Linked DNA regions of Callithrix jacchus. The protein of the gene in region 1 interacts with the protein of each later gene in a biochemical or structural test. Links are inferred from orthologs where the notes say so. Each region holds a gene or a part of one and is shown in the gene's direction. Other genes may lie near its edges.

Region 1 (15,142 bases):
GACATAAAGTTCTCATTGTAGAATTTCAGACATCAGTAAATCTTCTTGGGTCCTCGCTTATGTTCCCAAAATCAATCTATTTGAGTGATCACTCTCTTAGGTGCGTAGGTAAACAAAGAAGGTCATGGTTCTTCTTTGAGTGACCTTCTTTCCCTTTTAATTAATCTGTCCTCTTTGATGTCAGTTCTGACTGGTTCTTCTCCCTGGTTCGTCTTCCTTGGTCTGATGACCTCCCTGATTTCACATTGTACTGCAGTTCCTTCCATACCACCATCAGGGATGGCTGTCAACTTTCATTTGTTCTGTTATAATTCAAGGAAAAGTTGCCCAGTAGCTAATCTGATAAAACGTCTTTCTATCTTTATGGGCAGCTAGAGACTTTTTCCTATAATTTAAATGCATCTTCTGTGGATTATGGTCCCTCCACCATTTTATATTTGTCTGCTGTCTTCTTGCTCTGCTAGTCATGGAAGGAGGTGGTACTGGGGGCAGCGTAGGATGTTCAAGGGCATGTACTAGGTAGGGCCACGTATGGGCATTGCTTTGTGCCATTCTTTCCATATTTTTGGTATTTTGCATTTCACTGGAACCCAACTATTTTCACCTCTTCCACCTAAACCATTTGATGCCTCTGTTTCTTATAAATAAAGAACAGCTCATGGTAGCCTATGATTAGGAACCTATCTGCTTTCAAAATGAAAGCTGTTCTGGTCAGACTTAGCAATTCATTCCCCCCTTCCACGTATAGCTTTCCTCCATGAAAAAGATCCCTCTGTAACTCTGGTGTAGGTATTTGATATCTGGCCATAAGATGTGAAATGCCTGAATGTTTTTGTCCACGCAGTCGTTTCAGTCCATGATATTGTACGTAAAAGATACTAATTGTCCAGGTGTTCAGAAGCACCCATAGGACTTGATATGATTAGTTTGAAGGCCGGTGATATATAAGGCAAACTACATATTTTTCTGCCTGCTCTCTCTCTCTCTCTGTACATCCCTCTTTATCTTTTGAGATAGCAGTTTGGAGACTTAGAGTTACATAAGACATAAACCCATTTGCCAATAAGAATTGGTGTGTGTATTTGCTCATCTACTCCCTCCTTTGGTCCTCGAGCTGCTGTTTTAGACTTTTATAGGATGCAGGCATGTAAAGGAGAAACTGTCAGTGCTAGGCTGAATTCTGTTGTTACCAAGATTTCTAGAAAAGTATTCCGCAGTCGGGTTGATTACAGATAGCGCGAATCTATTTTTCCTAGGCTAGTTTCTCTTTGCTGCCGGGCTTATAACTGTCTGTCATCCAGCTATTGCTCTCCACCTTCCTGTTTGCATAACAACCAAGGCAACTTCTGCAAATCGCTGCATGGAGACGATGATCCTACCAACTCCCTTTTGGAAACCGTGAAGATCAGACCTTGGACCATGTATAATATGATGCTTCTAATCCAAAAGAGGAAGGACATTGGGAGTCAACTCCTAAGTAAGCTCCAGAATTTTTGCTGGTACTTTTCCTTCAGGAGGTAACTTTCCTTGATATTGTTTTTTTTTTTAATAGATATATGAATAAATACTATATTTTGCAGCATTGTACGCTTTTTTTCCTTTTCTAGAAATTCTAAACCTTTGACATTCATAGAGACGTTGAGTACATTTTTTTCTGTCTGCCTACTTTGCAGAAGGATTTTCTCTGCTCGTTCGCTTAGCATTGCTGATGCGTCAATCTTTTCTTCCTCGTCTCTTTCAGGGGCTGGAGAGGCAGAGGGAGACAGAGGAGCTGGTACTGCAGAGCTGTCGTCTGATTGGCTGGATGGTCGTAGCTGGGCTATAAAAGAGACCCCTACAGGCTTGGGAGAAAGACGCTCAGAGAATTCTGACAGTATCTTTGCCGGAGAAGAGGCAAAGTACGCTCAAAGCCGAAGCCACAGCTCCTCCTGCCGCATTTCTTTTCTGCTTGCAAATCCCAAGCTGTTAAATAAGATGTGCAAAGGGCTTGCAGGTCTGCCGGCTTCTTGCTTGAGGAGGTAAGATTGCTTTCAGCCATTAACCATGCTGAACTTTTGGATAGACTTTCTCAGTCATTTACATGTTGTACTTACTAACCTAGTTCTGTGCAGTTAGAAACAATGTGGTCAGGAGAGCAATGACTTCCTAACTTTCTTCCTCCAAGACAAGCTAGATACTGTGACTTAAGACATGTGCTCCCCAAATTTCAGTCCTTACGTGTTGTTTTATGACCTCAATTTTGGTAACCGTTCTGTTCTTTAAGCCAGGTCTAAGCAAGCTAGTTTTAATTAAGAAGTGAGATAAGGTTTGAGGCTATGGATAGTGGTCTGTAATATCTCCATCTGTGATTCCTACTGTTATTTGAGCATCCCCGGAGTATATAGAAGCCTGGCTCTGGGCTTTCTGATTGTACGCTACATCTTGTTTGAGGGAAAGTACCCCATAATGAGGTTTGGCTGCATTATCGGAAAGGCATTATGCTTTCTGTGTGGTGCTCAGTATCTTTCACTCTCTATGTTCTTATAATCAAATGTTACAATGAGATCTTCCGTATCTCTCTGCTCTATCTCTAGTTCTTAAAGTATCTTAGATGAGTGTGGTTGAGAAGTACTGATCATTACAAATCAGTTAACAGTTTTGTAGAAGATCTCACCTTAAAGACATTGTTTTGTTAGTATGCTCTCTTAATGTTTTTAAAACACCTTACAGGCATACAGTTATGCATTTGTTTATGCTTTTAAAAGCATAAACAAATGCATTCAGAGAATGATCGTATATTAGCCACTTGAAAATGAAACACAAAATGAGTGCATATTCCATTACTTAATCTTGCAGATAAAGGTAAAAAGTCATTCTAGAGGTATATACCTGCTTTCTTATCACCCTGCAAATAGAAATTACCACAACTTTTATTTTGGAAATAATTTCAGAAAACATAATGTTTTATGTACTATTCAAACATTTACTTTTCAAATATTGTGTCATTCATGAGTGTGGAAGTGTCAATGGCTTCTTTAAAATGAAGCAGGAGGGTCTGGCAGAGAGTATGAAATAAGTGCCTCTGACCTTCATGATTAATTTTCTGAATGGAGGGGGGCAAATCACTTCAAGCTTCAGTTAACTTACATATAAAATGAACCATTCAAAAATACAAGAGGGTCAGGAGAAGTTATGCTCTGGTAAATATTTTGCAAGGCAGATAAAGAAAGGTAGTACTAGAGCTCTGCCCTTGAAGAGTTAAGCAGCTAATCTAAGGAGGTAAACCCTGTGTTAGCCAGATGAGCTGCTCTTCCCTTTCCTCACCAGTAAACTCCAAATGGTCTAGTGCAACATCTTTACCACCAGTGCCTGAGGCTCCAGAGGAGCCATCTCCTACTCAAGGTCACATAGATGGTGGGTGAGTTAGGGCCAAATCTAGATTTCCTGGCTCCAATAACTTCTGAAGTCATTTTGGTTTTTATTTTTATGGTTTTATTATAAGAATACTTGCTAAGCACACTTAGCCCCTGCATTGATCAATAGCTCTCAGATCTCAGGTGGATCCAGCACATGGAAATATGAATTCATTTCTATTTGGACTTCATGATATACTTATATTATCACCTCGGAATTACCCTAACATTCAGGATTATATCTCACTATCATCAAAAAGGATAGTATATCCCCTGACCAGTCATCAGTCAGGGAGGCAGAGGAGGGAAAGTAGTCTTGGGAGGAAGAGAAAATACTATTTAAGAGGCAGTCAGCGAACATAATGGAATTCAGAATTTCTGGGAAAACCTACACACATAAGCCACTAATGTATTAGTAGTCATCCTAAATGTCTTTATATCTCTGTGGCTTTATTTTTCTTGCTCCAAATAGGAACATTTAGTTATTCATTTTTTAAAGAATGGTATTTCTCTTTTAAAATTATTTCTTGGCTTTTAAAATAAAAGAGATGCAAGCAAGAGGATAGTTAAGAAAAAGTAAGAGAGTTGAGTTTAAGGCTTATTAAAGGACCCCGTTTTTCTAGTTAGTCCGGAGCCCTGTTGTGCCCTGGCTACCTATTAAAACGGCCGCAATAAACTAGAAGCTCAGTGATGTCTCTAGCCTCCTTCTCCCTATAGTTTTTAAGCCCCAAATGCCCTTTATAGTGTATATGTCCTTTAACGTAGCTATTAAATAGGAAAGCAGCAGCAGCAGCAGGTACTGTCTACAAAGAAGCCCCAAGGAGCTCAGGTTTCAGCTTGGGCATTTGCTTTCACCGTCCATGTTCCATTTCCCTCTGCTGGAGCTGCGCACCTCAGTGTATTCTCCCTGCATACCCCACAGCAGGGACTGCTTGGCCCACCATGTACAGGGCTGGAACGGAATAGACTTTTACTTTCCTGAGGTGCTTCTACAGTTCCCTCTCTGCCAGCAGGGAGACAGATGGAAATGGCAATCACCTGCCAGAAGGTGGCGTGCAGCAAGGATGTGCATCTTTCGCAGCTGCTGCCTTCTGATTCCTAAAAATTACTCAGAGATCACTCATGTTTTCAGTGTGGTTCTATTGAAGATACCAAAGGTATTCTGTTGGTCAAAATGACCGGCATACAAAGGCTTCTGAGATTTCTGAGGTAAACTGAAGGGTCAGAATTCAAGTTGTGGATGAAGGAACTAGTGTTATGACTGTGCCTCAAGGTTTTGTAGCAAGTCATAGGCAACCAAAAGCGGAATCTTGTTTTCCTCAGAGTTCATGCCACCTCCAACTCCTATTCCCTAAATAAATGCCTCTGAGCCATAGACTAGTAATGGACTCTTGAAGCTCTACCATTAGGTATCTCTTAATGAAAGTTGGTTATCATAATTGATTCTTTTTTTCCTCTTCTGTGCAGTGCAAAAGATATGAAACATCGGCTAGGTTTCCTGCTGCAGAAATCTGATTCCTGTGAACATAATTCTTCTCACTGCAAGAAGGACAAAGTGGTTATTTGCCAGAGGTAAGAGAAAAGGCCTGGTGAAGATCTATCGAGTATTAACTATCTGATGATAGATGTGTTGTGCTCCTACTTAAGCTGGATTTGAACCAAGAGAGCCCCCCTTTTCATGGAGAGTATAACTACATTCGAAATTTCTATACATTTAGTGAAAAACTGCCCTCATCAACAATATATTTTGTAATAATGATGGAAAATAAAATCTCTGCTTTACATTCAGGATCTTAGATTTCTTGCCCCAATTTTGTATCATAGTATTCCAATTATTTTCTGTTTCTCTCTAATTTTTCTAGGGTGAGCCAAGAGGAAATCAAGAAATGGGCTGAATCACTGGAAAACCTGATTAGTCATGAATGTAAGTTTGACAGCAACCTGGATGAGGTACTCTAGATCAGACAAGTTATATCGTGCTGCTCTGTTAGTAACTGCAGCAAGGCCTGGCTTCTTTCTGATATTCAGACTCAGGAGACCCTTTTGGTCTTATATTCAGTCTGTTTAAAATTTAAAATGCCCTAGAGCTTTGCGATATACAATGAAAAGTTTATACAGGAACCATGTAGGAAATCAGCTCTCTCATCACAAGGAAAAAGGGAAGAGAGAAAAAAATGATAAATATTGATATTTTCTTGCAAAATCAATATCAGTTTCTCTTTCCCATATCCACCTTGGTAACAGATAGCTGCATAGGCATTTCAGAAACGAAATACTTTCTTGAAAGAGGCTTCAAACTTGAGTGTGAATCATTAGGTAGAACTGGAATCCACTAGACATCAAACACAGATTAGGGTTACCTGACTCCAAGTGACTTGAAAAAAGCGGATGAAATAAGGGATTGCTTGAACCCATGCTTTATTTCCCCAAGTACCTCAGCTTTATGTGAAATCTCATATCCAAGAGGCCAGCCGGTGTGATGACAACTGTGGTCCTTCCTTCTGTATCACAGGTGGGCTGGCAGCTTTCAAAGCTTTCTTGAAGTCTGAATATAGTGAGGAGAATATTGACTTCTGGATCAGCTGTGAAGAGTACAAGAAAATCAAATCACCATCTAAACTAAGTCCCAAGGCCAAAAAGATCTATAATGAATTCATCTCAGTCCAGGCAACCAAAGAGGTGGGTTTTTTACGGATACATGAAAATTGTACCTAGTCATGGGGTATGTGTGATATTTTGATGCATGCATACAACGTGTAATGATCAAATCAGGGCAATTGGTACATAGATGTCTCAAATATTTATCATTTATTTGTGTTAGAGAACATTCCGAATCTCCTATTCTAGCCATTTTGAAATATACAGCAAGAACTATTGACAACTGTCATCAGCCTGCTATGCAATCAAACACTAGAACTTTTTCCCTCTATCCGGCTTTCTGTCTATTCCTTCTACTCATTAGCCAAACAACCAAAAAGTTAAGCTTTTATGGCAGAGAACTCTCTGGATCTTGGTGAAGGTTCCTAGAATAGTGGAGCTGACTATCATAATCTTGACAACCCCAAATAAATCAGATTTTTAAAAAATCTCCTTCGTCCATGTGACTTACATAACCTCCCTTCATGAAGTTTTCTGATGAATCTCCCCAATTTGTTAGAACAGAAGATCTTGCCCTCCCTACTCTGAAACAGAATGAATCTTTTATACTCTCTCACATGTGCCAGGGACGAGCCTGATGTCACTTTTGTTTTTCACTTCTGAAATATGGTGGGTACACAGTCACTTACAAGTCGCTACAAAGCATGCAGCCTCCCATCGGGATATAGGTCTAATGGAGTCTTGGCCTTTGCCCCTCAGGTGAACCTGGATTCTTGCACCAGGGAAGAGACAAGCCGGAACATGTTGGAGCCTACAATAACCTGCTTCGATGAGGCCCAGAAGAAAATTTTCAACCTGATGGAGAAGGATTCCTACCGCCGCTTCCTCAAGTCACGATTCTATCTTGATTTGGTCAACCCTTCCAGCTGTGGGGCAGAGAAGCAGAAAGGAGCCAAGAGTTCCGCAGACTGTGCTTCCCTGGTCCCCCAGTGTGCCTGATTCTCACATGGAGGCAGAGGGATGAAATGCCGAGACTCAATGCTCTGGAAAACCTGAGGCCAAATATTGATCTGTATTAAGCTCCAGTGCTTTATCCACATTGTAGCCTAATAGTCATGCTGCCTGCCATGTGTGAGTCACTTCCACGCATAAACTAGATATAGCTTTTGGTGTTTGAGTGTTCATCGGGGTGGGACCCCATCCCAGTCCAATTTCCCTAAGTTTCTTTGAGAGTTCTATGGGAGCAAATATCTAAATCACGGCCTGGTCAATCTGGATTTTCAAAGATAGTTGGCAGTTTCCTCCTCCCAACAGTTTTATCTTGGGTTAGTTGGTTAGTGCATGTCACATGACAGCCACATGCACATGTATTCTGTTGGCCAGCACATTCTGCAGACTAGATGTTTAGATGAGGTTGATCTGTGATATGTGCTTGTGTGTATGTCTATATATATATATAGATATATATGTACACATACGCATATATACATTATTTCTGTATATAGATGTCTGTGTATACATATATATGTATGAGTGTATGTATATACACACACAAACTTTTGCAAGAATGATGGGAAAGATCCTAGGTGCTCATAACTAGAGTATGTGTATGTACTTACATGCATGTTTCGATCTCTGTTCTTTCATACTACCTTTGAACAGGGCAAAATGAACTAACTGCCACGTAGGCTAAGAAAGAAATGCTAACCTGTGGAAAGTTGGTTTTGTAAAATTCCATGGATCTCGCTGGAGAAGCATCCAAGGAACTTCACGCTTGATTTAACCACTGACAGCCTCCACTTCAAGCACTATTCTAAAGAGCAAATACCTTAGCTCCTTTGAGCTGGTTTTCACTGATGGCACTTTTGAGCTCCTAGGCTGCCAGGGCATGCTTATTAGCAGCTGGGTTGATACGGAGTGGGGAGACTGTTGAGCTGAATGAAGAAATGCAGTGAAGGCCTTACCAGCCACACCTACCATAAGTTACTGGCTGAAAGAGTGCGCAGAAGTTAAAGGTTACCGTTTTTACCCTCTATCCTTTTTTCCTCTCCTGATCAAGGTGCTCTTCTCATTTTTTCCTGAGAACCTTAGCCATCAGATGAGGCTTCTTAGTTTATTGTGGTTGGTTGTTGTTTCTTTATAATGGCTCTGGGCTATATGCCTATATTTATAAACCAGCAGCAGGGGAAAGATTATATTTTATAAGAGGGAAACAAGTTTTCACAATTTGAAGAGCCCACGTAAGTTTTCTCTTCCAAGGTAGAATCTTGTTAATTTCATTCCAAACATCAGGGCTAACAGAGACTGAAGCATTTCTTTTTAGGCTCTGAGACTAAATGGGAGGCAAAGGAAAGAAAAAAAATCATCGTCTAACCAATTGTTAGAGCTACTGTTTGAAACTTTTCAAGGCACATTGAAATACTTGAAAACTTCTCATTTATGTTATTTATGATGTTATTTTGTACAAGCTTTTATTATTATATTGTTTTATAAATGGAGGTGCAGGATATCACCTGTATTATTAATGAATGCCCAGGAAGTAATTTTCTTCTCATTCTTCTAAAAATACTGCCTTTGAAAGTGCACACACATGCATCCACATACACTGCATTTGTTTCTCCAGTATAAATTACATGCATGAGTACCTTTGTGGCTTTTAAGCCAATGTAATGGGCTGCAAAATGAAGACACAGAGTGTGTGCATACAAATATCACTGTATTAAAGATGTAGATTTTCTAATTGTACCCTTCTTGTCTCTCCGGCAATCTTGCCCTTAATATCCCTGCAGTTCCTCATCAGTGTCATTTTCTGTTATACACAGTTCCACAATTTTGTCTCTAGTTGACTTCAAATGTGTAACTTTATTGGTCTTGCCCTATTATAATTGTCATGACTTTCAGATTGTATCTGAACTCACAGACTGCTGTCTTACCAATAGGTCTGGAAGGTCATTCTGAATGAGAAGTAAATTATTTTATGTAATACATTTTTGAGTGTGTTTTTCGGTTGTATTTCCCTGCTGTTTCATCACTATTTCCTATGGTGAGCTTGCCTGCTCATGCTCTCTGGACAGATTACTACTTCCTTTTGCATGCATATTTCTCTAATGTGCTTTATAGGCCTCAAAGCTGATGCTTCCAGTGAAACACATGCATCTTAATAATAAGGGTAAATAAACGCTCCATATGAAACTATTTGCTTGGAAACACATTAATGATCCACAGAGACATGTTATGAGAAACATCAGAGTGTAGGGTGACTTTAGAAAAAGACTCAAACCGAGTTTTTAATCCCTCCTATGCCAGTGAACTGGGAAAGAAAGCATAAACTGAATATTGTTTATTCCTTAGTTCATGCCACTGCTCTGCCTGGTTTTCCTCATAGAACCAAGGCAATCTTAGCTTCAGACACTGCTAAACAGATTAAGTGATTTGCTTGCAGATTCTCAATCGATTTTCAATTGATAGAGTTCACCTTCCAGAAGTGTTCTTTTACTTCCGATGACCTGCCTGCTTGAGAGATGGTAGAGCAGTGGGAAATTGAGAGGGCTGAAAGGAGCTATAGACTCTTACCCAAACTTCAAAATCCTTCCCTCTCTCTTAATAATTCTCTTTCCTGGAAAAGAGGTCACAGAACGTTCACATCCTCAGTGATAGGCAACGTGTGCTGTGTTTATTGTGTCATGAGACTCCCATTTCATCATCTTTCTTTCCCATTGTAAGAGTAGTACAAGATGTTAAGCACGGATGCTCTTCAACACTTTTGAGTAATAGATCCCTGTTTCTGAGACTGAGTCTCACTCTGTTGCCCAAGCTGGAGTGCAGTTGTGTGATCTCAGCTCACTGCACTGTCCACCTCCCAGGTTCAAGCAATTATCTTGCCTCAGCCTCGTGAGTAGCTGGGACTACAGGCCCAGCTAATGTTTTGTATTTTTTTTAGTAGAGATGGGGTTTCACTGTGTTGACCAGGCTGGTCTTGAAATCCTGAGTTTAGGCAATTCACCTACCTCGGCCTCCCACAGTGATGGGATTACAGGCGTGAGCCACTGCGCCCAGCCGAGTAATAGATCCTTTTAAGGATCTGGTAAAAACTATGGACCTGACCATCTTTTAAGAAAAATACATAGAGGAATCTAAATTTTTCATACACATTTAGAGGGAACTCTCAGAATCTCCCCTCAAAACAGACCAAACTATCATTCTTCTCTTACACTACAGATGTGTCAGACTCTCACTGAGACTGTATAGTTGCTGTACACTCTATTTGATAATCAAGAATTGCAGGGTAGGCTGGGCGCGGTGGCTCAAGTCTGTAATCCCAGGACTTTGGGAGGCCGAGGCGGGTGGATCACGAGGTCAAGAGATCGAGATCATCCTGGCCAACATGGTGAAACCCCATCTCTACTAAAAATACAAAAAAAATAATTAGCTGGGCGTGCTGGCGTGTGCCTGTAGTCCCAGCTACTTGGGAGGCTGAGGCAGGAGAATTGCTTGAACCTGGGAGGCGGAGGTTGCAGTGAGCTGAGATTGTGCCACTGCACTCCAGCCTGTCACCTGGCGACAGAGTGAGACTCTGCCTAAAAAAAAAAAAGAATTGCTGCATAATTCAAAGTCACTGCTATTAGCAGCAAGTGTGAGCAGTGCCGTTTTCCCCAGTCTACCTCCCTCATTCTTTCTCTATTAAAGAAACAAAAAAATATTGGCTGACCCTTTTTCTGAAGATATGTATTACAAGGACCACCTTTTGAAAAACATTTATTATTGTTTGTTCTGTGACTGGCCCTTCTATAAATAACACGCTTAATTCTCACAACAACCTTAAGATATAGATGCTAATCATGAGCATTTCCCCTTAAATTTTAAAGATGGGAAACACTGGCCAAGGTGCCTCAGGCTGTGTTCTGGCACTGCATGTTAATAATGCTTAGATTTTTAAAGTTGGAAACGTGACTATAGAAGGATGAAAGAGGAAAGGGGAAGGAAAAGAAATAAAAAAGAAGTACCTTGAAGGTGAAATCAACTACTTCTCAGCCCATACCAAACATGTGGATGAAAAGTCACAGCAGAGGAAAGCCAGTCAGATAAAGTGGCTCATTTGATGAGCCTGACTCTAAAACACATCATAAAACTAAACTGCACCATTCATTTATTTCAGAGGCTGAATTCAAAGCATGAATCTGCTCAGGTCATTAAACCACAAGTAAACAACTAAATTATCTGATGTTGTAATATGCATTGCTTTGCTCATTGAGATGTCGCATGGAAATATGACATGAGGAAGGAAAATATTGGGTTTACTTCTATTTGTGATATAAGAAAAAAATCAGATGAGATGATTTAGAATCCATTTAGAATTAGAATCTAGTTTTTCTTTAAATTTTGCTGCCCGGCTAGCTCAGGTAGAGCAATGAGACTCTTAAAATTTTGCATTCAAAGAGATTACTGGGAGATCTGAGATCAGGAATTATTCTATTTCTAAGGCACCCAAATGGAGGCAAACAATGCCTAGAGAGAGAACTTGATTTCCAAAGGAGACTTAAATTTAACACTAGGGCTGGGTGCAGTGGTTCATGCCTATAATCCCAGCACTTTGGGAAGCTGAGGCAGGCAGATCACTTGAAGTCAGGAGTTCGAGACGAGTCTGGCCAACATGGTGAAACCCTGTCTCTAATAAAAATACAAAAATTAGCCAGGTGGTAGTGGGATGCGCCTGTAATCCTAGTGAATTGGGTGGCTAAGGCAGGAGGGTCGCTTGAGCCCAGGAGGTGGAGGTTGCAGTGAGCTGAGATTACGCCACTGCACTGCAGCCTGGGTGACAGAGTGAGACTCCCTCTCATAAAATAATAATAATAGCAGTAGTAGTATCTTACATTATGCCCTGCCTATGCTGAGTGCTTTACAGCTTTATATTACCATATTAAATCCTTATAACGAAACTCTGGAGCAGATGGCATTAATATAATTTCAGAGTAGATGGGGAAATTTTGATATAGGAAATTTAAAAAAATTTGCCCAAGATCATATACAAAAGAAGTGGTAGAGCCTATGTCAAACCCAGAAATTCACCTCCAAAGCCCACACACTTGCGTACCCTAGTCAAAGAAGCCAGAAAAGGAGGGAAAATAGCAGAAACAAAAGCAAGCAAAGGAAGAATAACAGGAAGAAATGAAAATGGAGGGAAGAGATAAACAGATAAAAAGACTGGAGAAAAGAAGTGAAGGAAAAGACAGGAAAGAAAATGTGGAAGAAGGGGACATAAAAGAGAAGAAGAGGGCCGGGCGCGGTGGCTCATGCCTGTAATCCCAGCACTTAGGGAGGCCAAGGCAGGTGGATCACGAGGTCAAGAGATCGAGACCATCCTGGTCAACACGGTGAAACCCCCTCTCTACTAAAAATACAAAAAATTATCTGGGCATGGTGGCGCGTGCCTGTAATCCCAGCTACTCAGGAAGCTGAGGCAGGAGAATTGCCTGAACCCAGGAGGCAGAGGTTGCAGTGAGCCGAATCGCGCCATTGCACTCCAGCCTGGGTAACAAGAGCGAAACTCCGTCTCAAAAAAAAAAAAAGAGAGAGAGAGAGAAGAAGAAAAGAAAATGAAGATACATGTGGTATGGAAGGACAAATGCCAAATATGCACAGGTCCTCATGTCACAGTCAGCTGTGCCTACCCTAGAGCAACTGATTCTACTGGCTGGTCTCCAAGTCCTATCTGAGCTGGGGCAGGTGAGAGGTTTCCAGAGGACTAGCAAAAGGTAAGTTTTGGAAGCAAGAAACAGATACCAAGGTCAGATTTCTCTCTAAGAATCACTTTTCTGTATCCTTTTTTCACTCTAAGTTTGCTAGATATTGAACCATCCACAGAGTGACTCTTCCATTGTTGCTGTTTTCAATACCTGAAGAAAAAAGGATAAAAGAATACCCCAACTCTCCTTGATTCTATTTTAGTACTGTTTGGGGAGGCTTTGTACAGGGAATCTGAGTTAGTCAGCCATTCCAGGATTCACACTCAGATGACATCCCAGCTGGAAATAGGCACTCCTGGTCACATTGTTCCTGTTCCTCTTCTCGGAGGGAAGCCAACAGTGAGCAGAGGATTTGGGTCAAATTCCCTCTGGGAATTGCCCCCAAACACACAGACACACACCCAAGTCCAGTAAAGGCAAGAGCATGGGAAAATGTGGTAAGTTAGAACGTGAGAATTAGTGAAGTCACCTCTTGAGAGTGACTTTGCAAGGTCAACTTTGAAGCTATTGCTTCTGAACGAAGTAAAAGAAAATTTTTGTTGATTTTTTTCAAGTATTATTTGTAAAATTCCTAGATGATTTTACCGATCCATTTGGTCTTTGTGCAGTCATCTTCTTCTAAGACAATATGTCACTGAGACATCTCCTCAATAACAACAAATTGTGGGAAACACATTCTAGTGAAGTCACATTCAAGACAAAATTTGCTTATCTTTTTCTCTCTCCACCACACCTTTAACATCCACCTGCCTTTTCTTCTTGTTTCTCCCCTGTCAGGCCGTGATATTTTGGCTACCTATTGCCTTCTAGGAAATAATATTTTTAATGCCTTTGGGGGTATTAAAAAGCACAACTGTAAGGACTGTTTGTAAATTCCAGGTCAAATGCTGTTTCTCCTTCTCTGTTTCCTACCTTGGTGATGGCCTGATCTTACACTGAGTCACTCCAACTAGAAACCACAGAATCATCCCAATTTCCTACTTCTGACTCACTCCATACACTCCAAGTCACCCGACTCTGCAGAATTTCTCTAGATAAACCCTATGAAAAGCTATGTCTGCCTCTCCACCTGTGTGGATGTAGCTTCATCCAGGCTCTTGTGCTGTATCGCCCGGGTTATGGCCTTAGCCTTTCTCCTGGCCTCTCAATATCCCATCTCATAGCCACTAATTTACTCCAAATAGCTGCTAGTCTGCTCTGAGATGCTCATTTGGTTATTACCTGCTTAAAATTTGCAAAACTCTCAACTCTAGGCTAGTATTCAGTACTCTGTATGATTTTGAATCGATCTCTCTTTTTGGCCTTATCTTCTACAACTCCTCATTGGATCTTGCAATAAAGATTTGCTGGTCCTGAAATAGCATGTTTTTAATTGCCTCTATCATCTTCCAACTTTGTCTTCTGATCTTTTCCTTTACCTAGCTAACCCCTACTCTTTATTTTAAACTTAGCTCAAGACTACTCACATTGAAAAGCCTTCCCCCACTTTCTGGCATGATTTCAATGTTCCTCTGTGGGATTCCCCCGATACTCTGGCATGCTTTTATTTTTTTTTGATTATTACTAGCACATTGTCCTGTGACATGAATTTATCATTGTATCTCAAGCGACACTGCCGGTTCCTCAAGGTTATGAAACACATCTCATTTGATTTGCATTAAGACATTAGCCTAGTACATAGAAAATGACTGTTTGTGGACAGAGTTTCCAAACTCAACAGAGACATTGTTAAACATTGTTTTGTTTTGTTGTTTTGGGTACCTGTCCCTAAAACTCCAAATCTCTCGAGTTGGGACCTGGGAATCTGTTATTTATATAAATCTTCCCCAATTTCTAATTTAGACAAGCATTTTCTCAGATTAGTTTTGGCCCCAGATTAGTTTTATAGAACTAGGGGAGTAAAAGTTCGTACTCTTTGTTTCTACCAAGAAAGGATATGAAGTATTAAACCTGGGTGTGTCTGTGAGGGTGTTGCCAGAGGAGACTAACATTTGAATCAGTGGGCTGGGGAAGGCAGATATATCCTTAATCTGGTGGGCACAACCTAATCAACTTCCAGAGAATATAAAGCAGGCAGAAAAACATGAAAAGGACAGATGGACCTACGCTCGCAGCCTACATCTTTCTCCCAAGCTGGATGCTTCCTGCCCTCAAATATTGGACTCCAGGTTGTTCAGTTTTGGGACTCAGACTGGCTCTCCTCACTCCTCAGCTTGTGGAGCCTACTGTACCTTTGTGATTGTGTACTTTAATACATAATAAACTCCCATATAGCTGCTAAGGCAGGAGAATCTCTTGAACCTGGGAGGCAGAGGTTGCAGTTAGCAGAGATTGTACCACACTGCATTCCAGCCTGGGTGACAGAGTGAGACTCTATCTCAATAATAACAATATAAGGATATTTGAGGT
Region 2 (15,863 bases), on another chromosome or scaffold:
TATGTGTGGTGCCTGGGCTGAGACAGGAGTTTGCTGTCCTCAAGACAGCTTCTAGAGGTTTAGGTTCCTCTAGAAGCTTACCTGAGATAAGGATTTGGGTAAGACAAGGAGTTTATGTGGGGGGTCATTTCAGGAAGCACCGAGGGAGTGAGGAAGCCACCAGCAAGGGAAGGAAACCATGAAGGTGAGTTCATGTGTGGCCTGCCACGTTGGCAGCTGGGGCTCCATCCCATTGGGATCCTGTCCGACTGTGGAGCTTGTCTCAGAATTGCCTCCCTAGGAGGGCAAGGAAGTGGGGTATTTGCCCATTCCTGTCTGTTCTGGGCACTAACTCCCAAACTATAGAGCCACCTATACACCCAAGGCAGTGAGCTCCATGGACAGAGGCAGGAGGGCAGCCTGAGGCAGCACCTGCTCTGCCCTTACCTGCTTCAAGTTGGACGTTAAAGACTGTGGCTGCCTCAGATGCAGCACAGACCTTCCTGGGCAAGGCCAGCTCAGATGTGATCTAGACGCCTCTATTAGGAATTGTCGGCCGTCCAGGGTGCTCTTAACACAGGTGGGTCTGACCATAGAGGCTGGCCCTGGAGTCCGAAGGCTCCTCATCTTGAGTCTAAGCCCTGCCACTCATCATCTGTGTTGTTAAGTGAGTGCCTTCCTCTCTGTGGCCCTCAGTTTCCCCACTGTGAAGTGGGGTTGGTAATACTACAGTGACTGCTGTATTAACTGTGCCACAGCAATGCCATCTAACAAACCTCTCCTAAACCCAGCCACTTAGTTCTGCTGCACATCTGAGACCCAGGGCAGGCTCCACTCTGTACTGTGCTCCCCAGGTCCTCTTCCTAGGATGAATGACAGAGCCTGGGCATATTCATGGTGATGGCAAGGCCCACAAGGACGATCAGAAATACACACGGCCTCTTGAGCTGGCACAGTGCCACTCCTGCACCATTCTGTGGGCCACAGCAAGTCCTGTGCCATACTCAACATCAGACAGACAGGAAATAAACTCTGCCTTTAGCAGGAGGAGCTGCAGAGGTGCAGAGCAAAGGGTGAAAGGCCCGGTTACACATCTCCTGCCACTTGATCCTGAGGTGGGGGACATTCTGGGGACAGTGTGTGAACCAAATCCTTTGTACACTAAGTACTACTCCTGTGTGCAAGGTGGTAGAGATGGTGCGGTCCGGGATGTCTGCAGGAGAAGTCTTATCTTTAAAGACCACCACACTTCTGGTTGTGGTGTTACATGTATGGGATTGTAGTCTTTGAAAACAGGTGACCCCACTTTGGTATCCAGGATAAGGGGAAGGGGAAAAAAACTGTTAATTATGCAGTACTTTTTCTGTAATTCCAAGGAGGCTCAGCCTACACGTGTGCACCTTAAGCAAATTCAGCTACACCCACGCAGACAAAGGAGGAAGGGAGGAGGCAGAGAAGGAAAGCACTTCAAACATTACCTGTCCCTTTCCCCTTCCCTTGTTTCACCTGACCTGGGGGCTTCCCCTGCCCCCAGAAAAAGGTAGGCCCAGGTGACAAACAAATAAGATAAATTAATAAAAATGGACTTTTGGCTTTGAGCAATCCAAGGGCCAAAGTTCTTGAGATTTAACATTGGCATGAGGGGTTCTTGCCATCTGCACTAACTCAGCGACCAGCCCCTCTCCTCCCCCAGCCCTGAGGCACAGTCCCCCTATGGCCCATCCCTCAGGTAACCGGAATTCTCCACCGAAACGCCTGCTCCCCCACATAGCCCAGTTCTAGGGACTCCATTCCACCCTGCGTAAGAAGTATAGAAAAGTACAACTCAACCAAGGACATTGATTTTTTTTTTTTTTTTTTTTTTCAATTTTCCCCAAACAAAATACCAAGTTTTCAGGATGAAAGCAGAGCTGCTGGTTGAGGGTGGAGAATGGAGCCCAGCCCACTCTCCCCTCACTGCCTGGGAAAACTCTGGGGCTCCACTGGCTGCAGCTTGGAGCTCCTGCTTTAAGGACGTCCATGTGGTAGAAGGCCCCACAGGCCCCAGGAACCCCTACTGAGGAGGCTCAGTTCGTGGCCCTCCGAGGAGCAGGCTGTGGGCTGAGCTATGGTCCTGCTGAACTGGCTGGGCCCTCATCACAGTTCCAGCTAGGGGAGAGCCCTTGGCTGGCAGGGGTCTTCTGTCCTCACCAAAGCCTTAAAGCCCGCCATCCATCTCTCCTAACAGGCTGACGCCAAGATGGTGTGTGATGTGGTAAGTCGGATGGAAGACACCGAGCCCTTCTCTGCAGAGCTGCTTTCCGCCATGATGCGGCTCTGGGGCGACTCAGGAATCCAAGAGTGCTTCAACCGGTCCCGGGAGTATCAGCTCAACGACTCTGCCAAATAGTGAGTGTCCCCATGGGCGGGCGCCCTGCAGCCAGGCGCTGACACAGGAGTGGAGGGGGATTGGCGATGGGGATTGGCAGAGCAAAGAGGATTCTCAGCTGAGGTCATGCCTGCCGGGAGATGTTCTGCCACAGGTCGGGGGTGTCAGGATGGAATGAGAAGGGGCCTCTCTTCCTGCCCCCAGGGGGAGGAAAAGGCCAGAGAAGGCAGAGGGCACAAGAGACAACCAAACAGTGGAAATTCCCAGAGGGCCGGGACCTTGTCACTGGCTTGTCCGGAGAGTGCTTGGCACTGCAGAAAGACTGCTTTCAGTGTAGCAGCTTTGTTTTGTCATGGGGAGCCCTGACCCCATAAATATAAACCAAACCAGGAGCCATATAGGCAGAAAATAAATGGTGCCATTTTGTTTTATTATAGAGAAAATAATAAGCTATTCCATTCCTCTATCTTTAAAATTAAAAATAAGAGTTATATAAGTCTAATTAATATAATAAATGTATACTTTAATACTGTGTTATAACTAAATAAGGGGGATGATAGAAGGGTGGAAAGAAGAAAGGAAGGGAGAGAGGGAGAAAGAAGAAGAGATAGAGAGGTGGGAAGTGGTAAAAGCCAGGGCTGGTTAGAAGGTACTCCTCACTTGTCCCGTGACAGCAGGGTCACAGTTCCGCCAGATGCAGCTTGATCACTCTAGGCATCTCCAAGGACATCCTGACTGCTTCTGTGCCCTTGGCCCCTAGATTGGAGGCTCCAGAGCCCTGGGATAGTCAGTGTCACTCAGGGACGTGTCTTCTGTCATGGAGATACTGGGATTTCTCCCTTGGCTTTCAGGAAACATACCTGCTTTTGCAATCTGATACCACACATTCAGTGGGGGCTTTTGCAAGGAGCCCCTGCGCTTTATCCCACTAGCTGAAGAGGCTCTGACATGATCCAGTCCAGCCATTTTCACCAGGCTCAGCTGGGACCATTTTACCCCCAGCGGACATTCAGCAACATCTGGAAACATTTTTGATTGCCACAGCTAGGATGGTGCTGCCAGCATCTAGCAGGCAGAGGTCAGTGATGCTGCTAAACATCCCGCAGTGTGCAGGACGACCCCCACAACAAAGTTACGTGGCCCCAGACCTCCATATTGCCCAGATTAAGAAACCCTGATCTGCGCAATGCCACTGGACAGAGGCTGAGGCCAATGTGCACTCCTGGCCACTTCCACGGGCCACATGACAGCTAACAGACTAGGGACTTGAGCAAGGCCGGGAGCGACTTCCCATTTCTGCACACCTAGACTGTCCACAGGGCAAATGCCAAAGTCCTGTGAGTCCCAGGTGATGGCTACCTAGGCCCCCAGGCCTGATGAGCTCCCAGGAACACCTTGTTGGTCAAGGCAGTGAGCCCAGAGGCTCGGTGTCCACCATTCCCTGTGCACACTCAAATCACAGATCGGAGCCAGGCAGGAGAGAGTCACTTTCAGCTGGCCACCTGCAGGACCCTCAAGGGCCCTTAGGGCCAGCTGGCCCCAATCTGTCTTCTAGTAGCTCACCAAATCCTGCTCTCCACTTACATTTTTACCCATTTCACTAATTATAACATGAATCCTTTGCAAAAAAAAAAAAAAATTTAAACAAATGCAGAGGGATATAAAACGAGATGCAGTCTTCTTTCTACTCCCCCCACCAGCTCTGTCCCTCCCACTTTTACCCATATCCATTTATTTGTCCCAGTGGCATCTAGAAAACTTGATCCTCCAACTCAAAATAGTATTTACTGCCACCCACTCTGGAATCGAGGGAGCTCAGCTCACCTTCCTTCCTTCCACCACTCTCCACCTTCACCTCCGGCTTTTTGCTAGTTACAGGATTATTTTTAGTTCTTCCGCTGCTTACCTTTATAACTTTGAATAAGAAACTTGAGTCAGTATTTGTCAACTCCCCACCAAGTAAGCTGAGGAAATTCTCCTCCCCGCACCCTCGTCTCTGCCTTCTTTCAAATTTTCCACTTCCAAGGTTGGTGATGTTACCATTCTCTTCTGTCACCATGGCTGGGCCTTCTGTGTCTTCCCTCTGGGAGAGGGTGGGAAAGGCAGGAAACACACAAGCGGTCAGGGCTAGAAGGATCTGGCACATTTCCTATCTTAGCAGTTAGACCTCAGCTTCTGACAAAGTCTTGGACCCAGTATAGAAAGCAGATCGGAGTAGATTTGTTATGCTGGAAGGGAGAGGGAGGCCTCACAGGGCTGCCATAGCACATGCTTCCACAGGGTGCCATTGCCACCCTAATGCCCCAACCACCAAGCACCTCTCTGCCCAGCCCCTTGCAGGGGAGGGAGCAGGGCACAGGCTCCTGAGAAGGCTCTTGGTGCACTCCGGCCTCTGTGAACAGGGCTGGCTCTCCCCTCGGGATAGTCACCTAGAGGGAGGTCCCAGAAACTCTGGGCACATCCAACCAGGGTCTGTGAAAGGTGCTCTGGGGCCTGGTTGCCATTGGTTTTCCTCAAATCCGGTTCTCCAGTGAGTTGTTTATGCCAGTGGCCGATGTTTCCTCTCCTCACCTCCTCTCTTGACTCCACTCCTATTGGGCTCTTGCTCCTCCCCTGATGAGATGGCTCTTAGCCCAGTCCTATCCTGGGGGCCTCTCCATCAGCCTCCTCCCACTCAGGGTTCAGTCCCCCAGTTCCTGGGACCTCCTTTCACTCCCAGCACCTGCCTCCTCTCTGGCTGCCCTTTCCAGACTCCCTCGCTGCCTCCTGCCCACGGATTGGTGACAGGGGAGGCCTTCTCAGGTTGCTACATCCCGTCCCCAAGCTCCATCCTAGAAGCACAGTCAGTAACCACTGTTCCAGGTGCTGGGGACGGGGCAGTCTCCATAGACTTCTTGACTGGATCGTTAAACAGCTCTCCCACACCTCGCCCTACCCTCCACATCTCTTTGCATGAGGCTTGTCCAGCATAGAGAGGCCAAAGGGCCAGGTTGCCTGTCTGAAGATTTGCCCTGGCTAGGAAAGGAGAAGCAGGACCAGTGGCTTCCAGGCTGTTGCCAGCTGCAGATGACAGCAGGGGGCGTCTAGTACAGCTTGGAAGCAGAGGCCACGAGCACCAGGGTGGGACAGGCACAGAGGCTTGGGAGGGCTCCTCCTGGCTGAGGCCAGAGCCTGCCCAGATACCACTGGCTGGCGAGGAGGCTGAGAGGCCAGGGGCACATACAGGTCTGCTCTGCAGCCTCGGCTCCCTCACCCCCATCCCCACACTGTCACTTCTATAGAGGGCAGTCAGGCACAGGAAAGGAGGCCCAGAGTCCTGTTTAAATTTTTTTTCTGGTGTTTTAAAATGCTCATGGAGTCCAGTTTAAGAGTATGAGGTCTGGAGCTAGTCAGAACTGGGCTGAATCCCAGCCAAGTTAATTTTTTTTTTTTTTTCCTCCCCGAAATGGAGCCTTGCTCTGTCACCCAGACTGGAGTGTAGTGGTGTGACCCTGGCTCACTGCAACCTCTGCCTCCCAGGTTGAAGTGATTCCCCTGCCTCAGCCTCCCAAGTAGCTGGAATTACAGGTGCCTACCACCATGCCCAGCTAATTTTTGTATTTTTAGTAGAGACTGGGTTTTACCATGATGGCCAGGCTGGTCTTGAACTTCTGACCTCATGATCTGCCTGCCTTGACCTCCCAAAGTGCTGGGATTACAGGAGTGAGCCACTGCTCCCCATCACCAAGTTCATTTTCTTGCAGTGTGACTCCAGGCTTACCTCCCTGAGCCTTGGAATGTACCATTCTGTTTTATTTTCTTACGGGAATTCTCACAAGGATTCTCACTGGGTTCTATCAGTGAACACCCTATCTGGTGAAGGTGTCCACCCTTCCTAGCCCTGTGGGCGTCCATGAGCTGGTCAGCATGCCCGTCTTTTTTGCAGTGGTGACTGTAGGTCCAGCCAGCCAGCTGGCCCCCAGCAGGTCCTGGAGCAAATGCAGCCTGGGACCCCACATCATCCTGTGGCACAGACACTCAGGGCTTCTCCCTGTGGGCTGCATGTGGTTCATCCCGACAGCTGGAAGGGGTGGCCTGGCAGTCTCCGTGGATCCCTGAGTCTTCCTTCAGGCATGGCCCAGCTCTCCACTTTCTGGTTTCCCAGATACTACCCTGGCATTAGGTTCAAACTTAACCCATAATGAACCCAAAGCCCTTGCAGGCAGCATCCTTTGAGTGCTAGGCCTGAGGCCTGGGCAGGTGACGAGCAAAGGCCTGGTCTGTCCCCACAGCAAGAGGTAGCCGGATAAAGAGCCCTGATTCCAAAGACTGGGTCCCAGGGAGGCCCAGCCGCTGTGTGGCTGTATAGCCCTGAGCCTCCAAGAATGTCAAATGGGAAGGTGAACACAGACCCCTTGGTAAGTGAGAAGGAAGTGTGGAAAAGGCAGGGAGTGGCTCGGGGGCCTCTGAAGCCCTAGAAAGTATCAGAGTATAGCCTCTGGGGCCAAGTATCCGGGTCATGGTCTTAGGCCAGGTACTTACCTTCAATGAGCCCCAGTTTTAGAACATTTAACTCAGGGAAATGAAGCATGAAATACAGTTACACATGGAAAGAATAGAACCTATCTGTTGGCCATTATTATTTTTTAAATGAAGAAATGACAACACAGTATTATTATAAACATGGTAGTCTCATGTAAAAGTCTGATCTTGTCTGAGTGTCCCCAGAGTTGCGTGCATAGCCTTTTGGCTATGAATGAGAGGCCCTCTGAGAATGCGAGGCCAAAGTAAGATCCTCTTCCTCAGTTGTCCCCACTCCCCATGGCCAGGGATGGAGGCAGTGCCATTTCCACAGTCACCTGGAGGGCCTTGGCCAAGACTGGACTCTGAAGGTGGGTGGCCTGGCCAGTCCCAAGCAGTGTCCAGGCTTTTGGTCCATGGTCCCGTTTGTTGCCATCCCCAGCTACCTGGACAGCCTGGATCGGATTGGGGCCGCCGACTACCAGCCCACCGAGCAGGACATCCTCCGAACCAGGGTCAAAACCACTGGCATCGTAGAAACCCACTTCACATTCAAGAACCTCCACTTCAGGTGAGGCCCAGGGAGGCCCCCAGACCCTGGCGAGGGCTAAGACGGGACATATCCGGCTTCTTAGCACAACTCGTCTGCAGCGCCCAGACATCGTCCTCCCCAGGGAACCCACAGGTTGGGGCAGGCAGCTGGATACCAGAAGGAACCTGTCAGTTTCTGTCAAGTTTAGGGGCTGGGATGAGCAGGGAGGCTTCCTAGAAGAACATTCAGAGTGGGGCTCTGACGAACAGGGAGAATTTGAACAAAGGAGGGCAGCCTGCCCCTGAGGTGACTTCCAAGGAGGAGGAGGAGGTAGACTACCAGGTGGCCCCTCCAAGGTCACTGAGAAGGGAGCTGGGTAAGCTTAAGCAACATCTGTGAGACCCTGAGGACCCATGTAATCCCAGAGCTGGAAGGAGCAGAGGGAGCTGACCGACTCTCTCCTGGTACATGTGCATAGAGCACAGCTAGAACCCAGGGGCTCTGGAGTCTCAGAGCAGGGGCCTGATGGGTAAGCTGGTTCCTGGAACCTGCTGCAGAGCTGTGTCCCCACCTGCAGTAACCTGCATGCACTGAGGCCTGGGAGCCCTTGCTCCGTCCTGTGGGGAACAGAGGCCAGCAGAGAAGTGGGGGGCAGAGATCCCCTCCTGGGAGAACTGGCTTCTAATATTCCCTGCCTCTCATGTGCCCAGCCCTGCCCACTACTGTTCAGACTGAGGGGGCGAGGCTCTGGGCCCAGGAACCCCTAGGCCTCCACGGATCTGAGGAGCAAAACCTTGGGCAGAGCAGCCTTGAGGGGCCTTCCTTGCCTTCCCAGGCTCCTTGGTCTCTCCTGCTCCCCCACTGGGAGCACAGGATGGGGATCTTGCCAAACCTGGCCCAGTGGGCAGGGTCTGAGAATAAGCATTCTGGAGGGGCCACAAAGGCCATCTCCCAACACCCCTGCATTTCAGATGGCGAGGTGGGATCCAGGGGAGGCAGTGATAGGGTAAGAACCAGACCCATTCCTTTCTCCAGTCCCTGATCTCTGCCTGCAGTTGCTCCATTCTGTCCAGTTGGACCAGGAATCCTTCCCTGTCCCCCTCTGGCCGGCTGTGTGTCAGCTTCCCAGATCTAGGAGGCTGCAGGGCTCCTTGCTCTGGGGGTTGGGGTGGGCAACTGACCTTTTACTTCCAGGGTGTAAGTCCCACCTGCCTGCAGTCTCTCCAACAGTTTTTGTGCCCCCTCGGGGGTGGAGTTTGAGAGTGGGAAGAGACCAGGCGGTGATCTGCTGGAGAGGGGCTGTGCTGGGCAGAGGTGAGAGCACCAGCTTTGTCCGCAGCCAGACCCAGCTCCACTGCAGCTAGACTCTCACCAGCTTGGGCATGTCTTAACCCTGTGGATGGCTCACTTTTGCCATCCATATAACAGGTGACACCTTCTGCCTGCCTCCCTCCCTCCCAGACTGGTTTGCCGAGAGCAAACCCAGGAAGGAATAGACTGAAGGCACCTTGAGCGGAGGACTCTGAGAGGCGCTTCCTGGGGGCCAGCTTGGATGCGCCCTCTTAGTAAAATGCCTCAGATGCAAGGGCAGGTCTTTGAGTTATGATATGTGAGCACAGCCAGTCCAAGGACAGACTCTGGGGGCAGTGCCTGGGGATGGCAGTGGTCCAGCTGTCTCTCAGCACCTGGAGTGACAAGGCCTGCTAGTGAGGGCTTCTAGCAAGGCTCTGAGCGCCGTAGTCCCCATCTTCTCAGCACACTCACAGCTTGGCCCCCAGGAAGCCCTCACCTGCCTGGACCCTGTGCCCACCAGCTCCCTGCCTCCTACAGGCTGTTTGACGTCGGAGGCCAGCGATCTGAACGCAAGAAGTGGATCCACTGCTTTGAGGACGTCACAGCCATTATTTTCTGTGTCGCACTCAGCGGCTACGACCAGGTGCTCCACGAAGACGAAACCACGGTGAGTGGCCTGGGCCCCCTGGGCAGAGGGCAGCACAGAGGAGGCAGCCACAGGATAGGTCAGCCCTGTGAGCGCTAGCCCTCAGGTGTCCACTGTGGCTCTGGGGTCCAGCCAGCTGCTGTGGTTAGGGGTTTCCATCATGGGTGGAACGTGCCAGAACACTCCACCACTCTGTATTGCCAAGGCAAGTGCCTCATGATGCCAGTGTGGCAAAGAGTTTCATGGGCCCCTGGCCCAGAGCCTGTGTGTGCAAACTGATCACACACAGCCATAAAGAATGTGAAACTTGGCAGAGTCACAGAGGCCATCAGGCCAGAGCAAAATTAAGCAAACCCTAAAAAAAGCAGAAGGCAGCCAAGCAAGAATGTACATGCAACAGAAATAGCAGTCCTAGCCTGACAGCCATCCCTGGGGCACTGGCCTCAGATGCTACTGGAGCAGAGTGGGGCCGGGGATGCTGTGGGAGAGTTGTGTGGGGTTAGGGGGCTGGGGAGCAGTGTGCGGGGTTGATGGGCCGGGAAGGGAAATAGGGATGAGGCATGCTGGTGAGTGACAGTTGTGGCTCTGGGCTCCTTTGCCAAATGCCAGACCAGGCTCCTACCTTCTGTCTCGAGTCACATTCAGCCTGAGGCCTCAGCAGGGAAACATTCCCCTGGGAGAGTGCAGCCTTCCTCTGGGCCTAGTCCTGGCTCTGCTACTCACTGGCTTGCTGCTGAATTTAGGCAGCACCTTTCTGGCTCAGTTACTAGTTTCCATAAAAGGGGGATAATAATAGTACCTGCCTGTGGGGGGCTGTTGGCAGTGGGATGGGTGATCCACGTGCAGCACTGTGGAACTGTTTCTGGAACAGCAGCACCAAGCTGGTGGTTGTACGGTTGCTGGTGATTGCCCTCAGCCTGCGTGTCCACTGTGTGGTCCCCTTCTGGTCTGCAGCCCACCAGGCACTGAGCATGGCTCACAGGGTCACTGGAGATAAGCCCCAACACTCCTGACGGCGGGGCCCATAGGCCATGGGGTCACAGGCATCTGTCATCTCCTTCTGTCTGGAACACATGCAGATGCCCCACCGCATGCCTCTGAGGGCTGGCACTGAGGGTTTGAGGTTTGAGGTGGGGCTCGTTGTCATGCTGGGCCTTGAGCGAGGCCTGTCTTCTCTCTGGGTCTGTTTCCTTGTCAGTTCTGGCCCCGCTGGTCCCCAGGGTTTTGTGAGGATGGGATGAGCTTTGGGGTATAGGCTATGGGGCACAGTGCTATAGGGAGGAGGAGCCGCCGCCCTGTGGGGCTTATGCAGAGTGATGGGGCTTTGGGCTAGTGGTGTAGGTAGTCTGGACCCGCTCTGTATACAGGCTCACCCACCTGGGTCTTCCTGTTTCAGGCCCACCTGCACCCCTGACTTGGGTTTCTGCTGTAATTGTTCTCAATGGCATTGGCAGGCAGTGATGTCAGTCACCAGCCTAGTCTTGATGCTGAGTGGGGCAAGGGTGGATGAACTTCCTGGGCCATACTTGGATCCAGACTCACTGACCACCCAAAGCCCAGGTCAGCCTCCTGGCCATGCGCCCCGCATAGTGACTGCCCAGACTTTTCCACTGCCTGCTGCTGGACTCTATGCTATTAAGGCAACTGCTCCAACCCCTGGGATCTGAGCTCCACTTGGCTCATCTTTCTCCCCTTGGTTTCAAAGAGAGCAAAGAAGCTGGAGGGAGGAAGCTGGAAGGGCACTTCCCCCTGGAATCCAGCCTCTCCCTGGGCCTGCCCTGCCAGGCCTGTGGATGGCTTCAACCCAAGTCTCAGGCCCGCCGGCCATGGGGCTGGGCTCTTGCTCACCTCTAGAGGATGGAAGCAAAGGGACGTCTGGGTGGGCCTAGCAGCCACGGGCCCAAGCTCTGCCACCCATGGGTCCCCAGTGAGCATGAGCCTGGTGCTGGGCCTCGCGCTGGGTGACCTTCCAGTCTGTGCCTTACTGCCTGGAGTATTTGCCCTCCAGCCTTCTCCACCTTCTCTCACCTCCCTTTTTCCCTGTTCCTCCCACTCTTCCACATAAGGGCTGGAGCAGAGGACCTTAGAGAAGCCAAAGCAAATGGAGCCAAGGTCACAGGCAGGCTCTTCCTGGTATTCTTCCTTCCCCAAAGCTGGCCACCTTCGCAGCCCAGGGAAGAGCAGCAGCTCATGCAGGGAATAGGGATGACTGCAACTTGACAGCAGCCACAAAGGCAGTTCAGTGCTGTGGTGGCAGCAAGAACAATACCGCGACTGTAGAACTAAGCAGTCGCCATGTGCTGGGGGTGCATGCAGAGGTGGGCAGCTTGGGAGTCAGGCAGATCTGGTCCAGGGTCTAGCGTCACCCCTGCCAGCCGTGTGATCATGGGCAACCACCCCACCCTGCCCAGGCCTCCATGTCCTTCCCTGTAAATGGTGACAATGGTAGAATGGTCTCACAGGCCATGTGAAGACCACAGGGCTAAGAGCTGTAAATGTGCCTGCATGGGGGAATCATCACTCAGTGAATAGCTGCTGCGGCTACTGCATTCCGACGCCGTGGCTAGAGGTTAGGTTCTAGGATATAGGAGCTCTGTAGGATACAGGCTATCTGCCTTGGTCCTCCGCCGTCCTCTCTGGTCAGCGCTGCATGTCCCCTCTCTGGCCTGGGGTGAGAGTGGGGCTGAGAGCCCATGGCAGAGGTATCTGGAAGCAGCTCCTGAAGCCAGGCCAGGAAAGCCTTGGTAGTGGCTGCTGCTGGACATCCAGCCGCCCCGTCCGCTGCATCCCGGGAGCCCGAGAGCCTGGTCCTGGCCTCGTACCTGCTCTCAGCGCCGCCCATCCGGGCCTGAGGCTGCCACCACTTCTCCACTACCACTGTCGCCGCCACCGCCTGCAGGGCCTTATCTTGTCAAACCAAGGCCAAAGCCATGAGCAGATTCTGAGAGACCCTCCAAGCCCGGAAGGTATGAAGCACCTCCCTCCAACTGAATCCATCAGCTAAGAGTTGAAAGCAGCAGGTTCTCAGGGCGACGCTGGGTGACTTTGCTGTGACACCTGCCCAGCCCGCCCCTGCGCCCGCACTCCTCTCCAGCCACTTAGCTTGGGCTCATCCTACCCATCCTGCATCTCTTGCCCTGCGGTCCACAGGCCCAGGATGGCCCTCGCCCCCATGAGCCCTCATGGGGCTCTCGGCATGAACTGGCTGGGATGCCCTGGCCCTGAGACTGGTTGAACCATTTTTTCAGTATTTTTCTCTCTTTCTCTTGTTGGGTTTTTATCTTCTTCTCTGTTTTGATCTGTTTTGCTGTGTTTCATCTTGGGGTTCCTCTGGCCCCTCTACTGAGAAACCAGCGCCAACAACCAGTTCTCCCCCACCCGAAACCACCAAGCACACCAAGGCCACAGCAAGCTCACCCCCGAGACGCTATCCCCCTGGTGTCTGCTTCCAACTCGGAATTAATTCGAGGATCTTTTAGTCCTCGGTTAATGTTTCCCAACCAAATGCGTGCACCCTCCCAACCTTGCTGTTGAAACCGAATGAGACCCGGTAGAGAAATCTGCATGACTGGGGTTCCACGCAGACGTGTTCGGTGGTGGTTGCAGCCCCTGCCCTGTACGTGCATGGTGCATGTCCTCTCCGTGAGCTGGAGCCTCTCCAGTGACCTCACTGCCCCCACCCGGGGCCAGCTCTCTTTGGAAGGGGGCAGCATCCACCCACCCTGCCCGGCCCTGCTCCGCCCCACCCTGCCTGCGTGTGGAATGATACAGGACCACGTCCCATCTGTCCTTGTGGATCCTCCTGTCTCCGTCCCGGTGGTGCGTCCAGCCTCATTGGTGGACCTTCCCTTTGCTTGTCCCGCTGTGTCGGTGGCCGCGGTGGGTCAGGGCCCTGAAGGCGCCGCCCCTCACTCGCCCTCCACTCTGTTGCAGAGCCGCATGCATGAATCCCTGAAGCTTTTCGACAGCATCTGCAACAACAAATGGTTCACAGACACGTCCATCATCCTGTTTCTTAACAAGAAGGACATCTTTGAAGAGAAGATCAAGAAGTCCCCGCTCACCATCTGCTTTCCTGAATATACAGGTAGAGACCCCTCCAAGGACAGCAGGACCCCAAGGGAGCGGGCCCTGTTCCCAAAGCCCAGTGCACCCTTCCTGCACTCTGTGGATGCACCCAATTCTGCCTCAGGGGATCCACGCAAACAGGCCCCCACCCTGCCTCCAGATTGTGCTGTAGCGAGGAGGAGCAACTAGCTGGGGCTTCCTCATCAGGGAAAGCACGCGCAGTCCTGGCTCTGCCACTTATAAGCTGTGTGACCAGGGCAGCCTCTGGGAACCTGAGCTCAGGGGCAGTCTGTGACAAGAGATCGCTGAGAAGACGAGGGGCAGTGCACAGACGCTGGGAGTCAGGCGGCCCAAGGTTTATGCCCCAGCTCCGCCACTCACAGGCAGCTCAGGCGGGTCATGCAGCCTCTCTGAGCCTTAGTCTCTGGGTCTGTGAGGTGGGGTGATGGCTGTGATTGCCCTCACCTCCCTCACTGGGTGCTGTGAGGAGGAAATGAGCTGATAGGTACGCAGAGCTTCGCGTGGTGCTGCACATAGAAAGCGCTCCCTATGTGTCTGCTCTTGCCATTAGGGGTATGCCTGTAACTCACATGCATCCTAACACCACCTCCTACATGCGGCTGCTGCAAGATTCAAATCACAGAGCTTTGCAAGCTGCAGACCCCTGGCCCACTGCATAGGGTGCTGGGGATGAGAGGCCAGCCCTGCCAGTGCTGTGATGGGTTTACCTGGCCATGGGGTGGGTGGGAAGCCAGGAAGACAGTATGACCAGGGCCACTGAGGAGCTGCAGGGTGGCAGCCCTGGTCAGTGATACCAGAGCAGTTACAGGCCCCAGCATAGCCCGGGTGCCCATCAGCTCTTCTGAGACGGCCAGACCCTGACCAGAAAAGTGAGTGGGCGGAGAAGTGGGGCAGCCCCGGGGCTTGGGGCCAGGCAACCTACCTCCTGCCTCTCCTCATCCCCCCAAATCAGGTTGAGTGCCAGCAGGCCAGGACCTGGGTATGTCTAGCCAGAGGTGAGTGGGGCTCAGCCTCCCTGGAACCCCCAAGCCAGCTTCCTCTCTAGCCATAGTTGAGGGCCTGTGGATCCTGCCCTACTGACCTAGGCTTGTGGCTTGTGGGGCAGTAGAAACAGGTGGGTAGGTCAAGTTACCAAGGCCAGTTTGGGGCTGACATGGGGAAGGAGGAGGAAATGAGGGAGCCTGAGTAGCCAGCTGCAGTTCTAGGACACTCCCCAACGTCCAGCCCAGATGTAGCAAAGAGCTGAGGTCTGGTAGACCCTCCAGGCTTTCTGCATAGCAGCCCACTCCAGCTGAGGCTCTGAATTCCAGCTCCCCTCCTTGCTGCCCCTCCACAGATTGTCGAAACCCTGCTTATGCATGGCATGGATTCATGGAGTCTGAGGGTAAAGCTGGGGTCATGTGCTTCTGCCCATTTCCAAACTAGAAGCTTCTCTCCTAGACTCCCCTCTCCCTAATCCCACCTGGGAACCAGCTCAATGTGGTGCCCCCTGAGGAAGGCAGCGTGTGAGCCACGCAATGACATCAGAAACCAGAAGCTTCTAGGCACGTCCTCCCACCTGGCCTAGCAGTGGCCATGGAGGTGATGTCAAGGCCTTCTCTGTGGACTCCCAAAAGAAAGGGCCCACCTGCAGGTCGTGCATTGGCCAGGGCTACCTGCATGACCCCAGTGCCCTCAAACCTCCTTGCACGTGACCCGTGGTAAGATACGTCGTTTGCCTCAGGAGTCCATAAATAGCCAGGCACAGTGACTGAAACCTGTAATCCCAGCACTTTGGGAGGCTGAGACAGGCGGATTACCTGTGGTTAGGAGTTCGAGACCCAGCCTGGCCAAATGGCAAAACTCCATCTCTACTAAAATTACAAAAATTAGTCGGTCGTGGAGGTGCATGCCTGTAATCCCAGCTACTTGAGAGGCTGAGGCTTGAACAATCACTTGAACCTGGGAGTCGGAGGTTGCAGTGAACCAAGATTGCACCACTGTACTCCAGTCTGAGCGATAGAGCACCATCTCCAAAAAAAAACAAAAACAAAAAGTGGAGGATGGAGTTCATAAATGCATGTATAAAAGGAAAAGAGCAGTTTCACAAAACAGTACTCCCTTTAATACAACTGACTGGCCACACAGTGGCTGACGTCTGTAATCCCAGCACTTTGGGAGGCTGAGACGGAGAGGATCACTTGAGCTTAGGAGTTCAGGACCAGCATGGCCAACGTAGTGAGATCCCATCTCTACTAAAAAAAAAATCCTTAACCAGGTGTTGTGGTACACACCTGTAGTCCCAGCTACTTAAGAGGCTGAGAAGAGAGGATCAGTCACTTGAGCCCAAGTGGTGGGGGTTGCAGTGAGCCCTGATCACACCATCACACTCCAGCTTGAGCAACAGAGGAGACCTTATCTCAAAAACTAAATAAATAAATACAGGTGATATACTGGGAGATCTGATATTTTCTATC

What was found.
Region 2: the proteins of RGS4 (region 1) and GNAO1 form a complex in vitro, tested with the Homo sapiens proteins (2 studies listed by BioGRID). The link is inferred for Callithrix jacchus from reciprocal best matches to the Homo sapiens genes RGS4 and GNAO1.

What each region holds. Positions count from the first base shown.
Region 1 is NC_133519.1:38,556,985-38,572,126, reverse strand, and holds RGS4 (regulator of G-protein signaling 4), read left to right. Parts: upstream 1-1,124; 5' UTR 1,125-1,419; coding exon 1,420-1,477; intron 1,478-1,741; coding exon 1,742-2,018; intron 2,019-4,859; coding exon 4,860-4,964; intron 4,965-5,254; coding exon 5,255-5,316; intron 5,317-5,904; coding exon 5,905-6,071; intron 6,072-6,749; coding exon 6,750-6,989; 3' UTR 6,990-9,182; downstream 9,183-15,142. UniProt on the Homo sapiens protein: Inhibits signal transduction by increasing the GTPase activity of G protein alpha subunits thereby driving them into their inactive GDP-bound form. Activity on G(z)-alpha is inhibited by phosphorylation of the G-protein.
Region 2 is NC_133521.1:14,198,129-14,213,991, forward strand, and holds part of GNAO1 (guanine nucleotide-binding protein G(o) subunit alpha), read left to right. Parts: intron 1-2,206; coding exon 2,207-2,367; intron 2,368-7,289; coding exon 7,290-7,418; intron 7,419-9,209; coding exon 9,210-9,339; intron 9,340-13,251; coding exon of another isoform or gene 13,252-13,405; intron 13,406-15,863. UniProt on the Homo sapiens protein: Guanine nucleotide-binding proteins (G proteins) function as transducers downstream of G protein-coupled receptors (GPCRs) in numerous signaling cascades.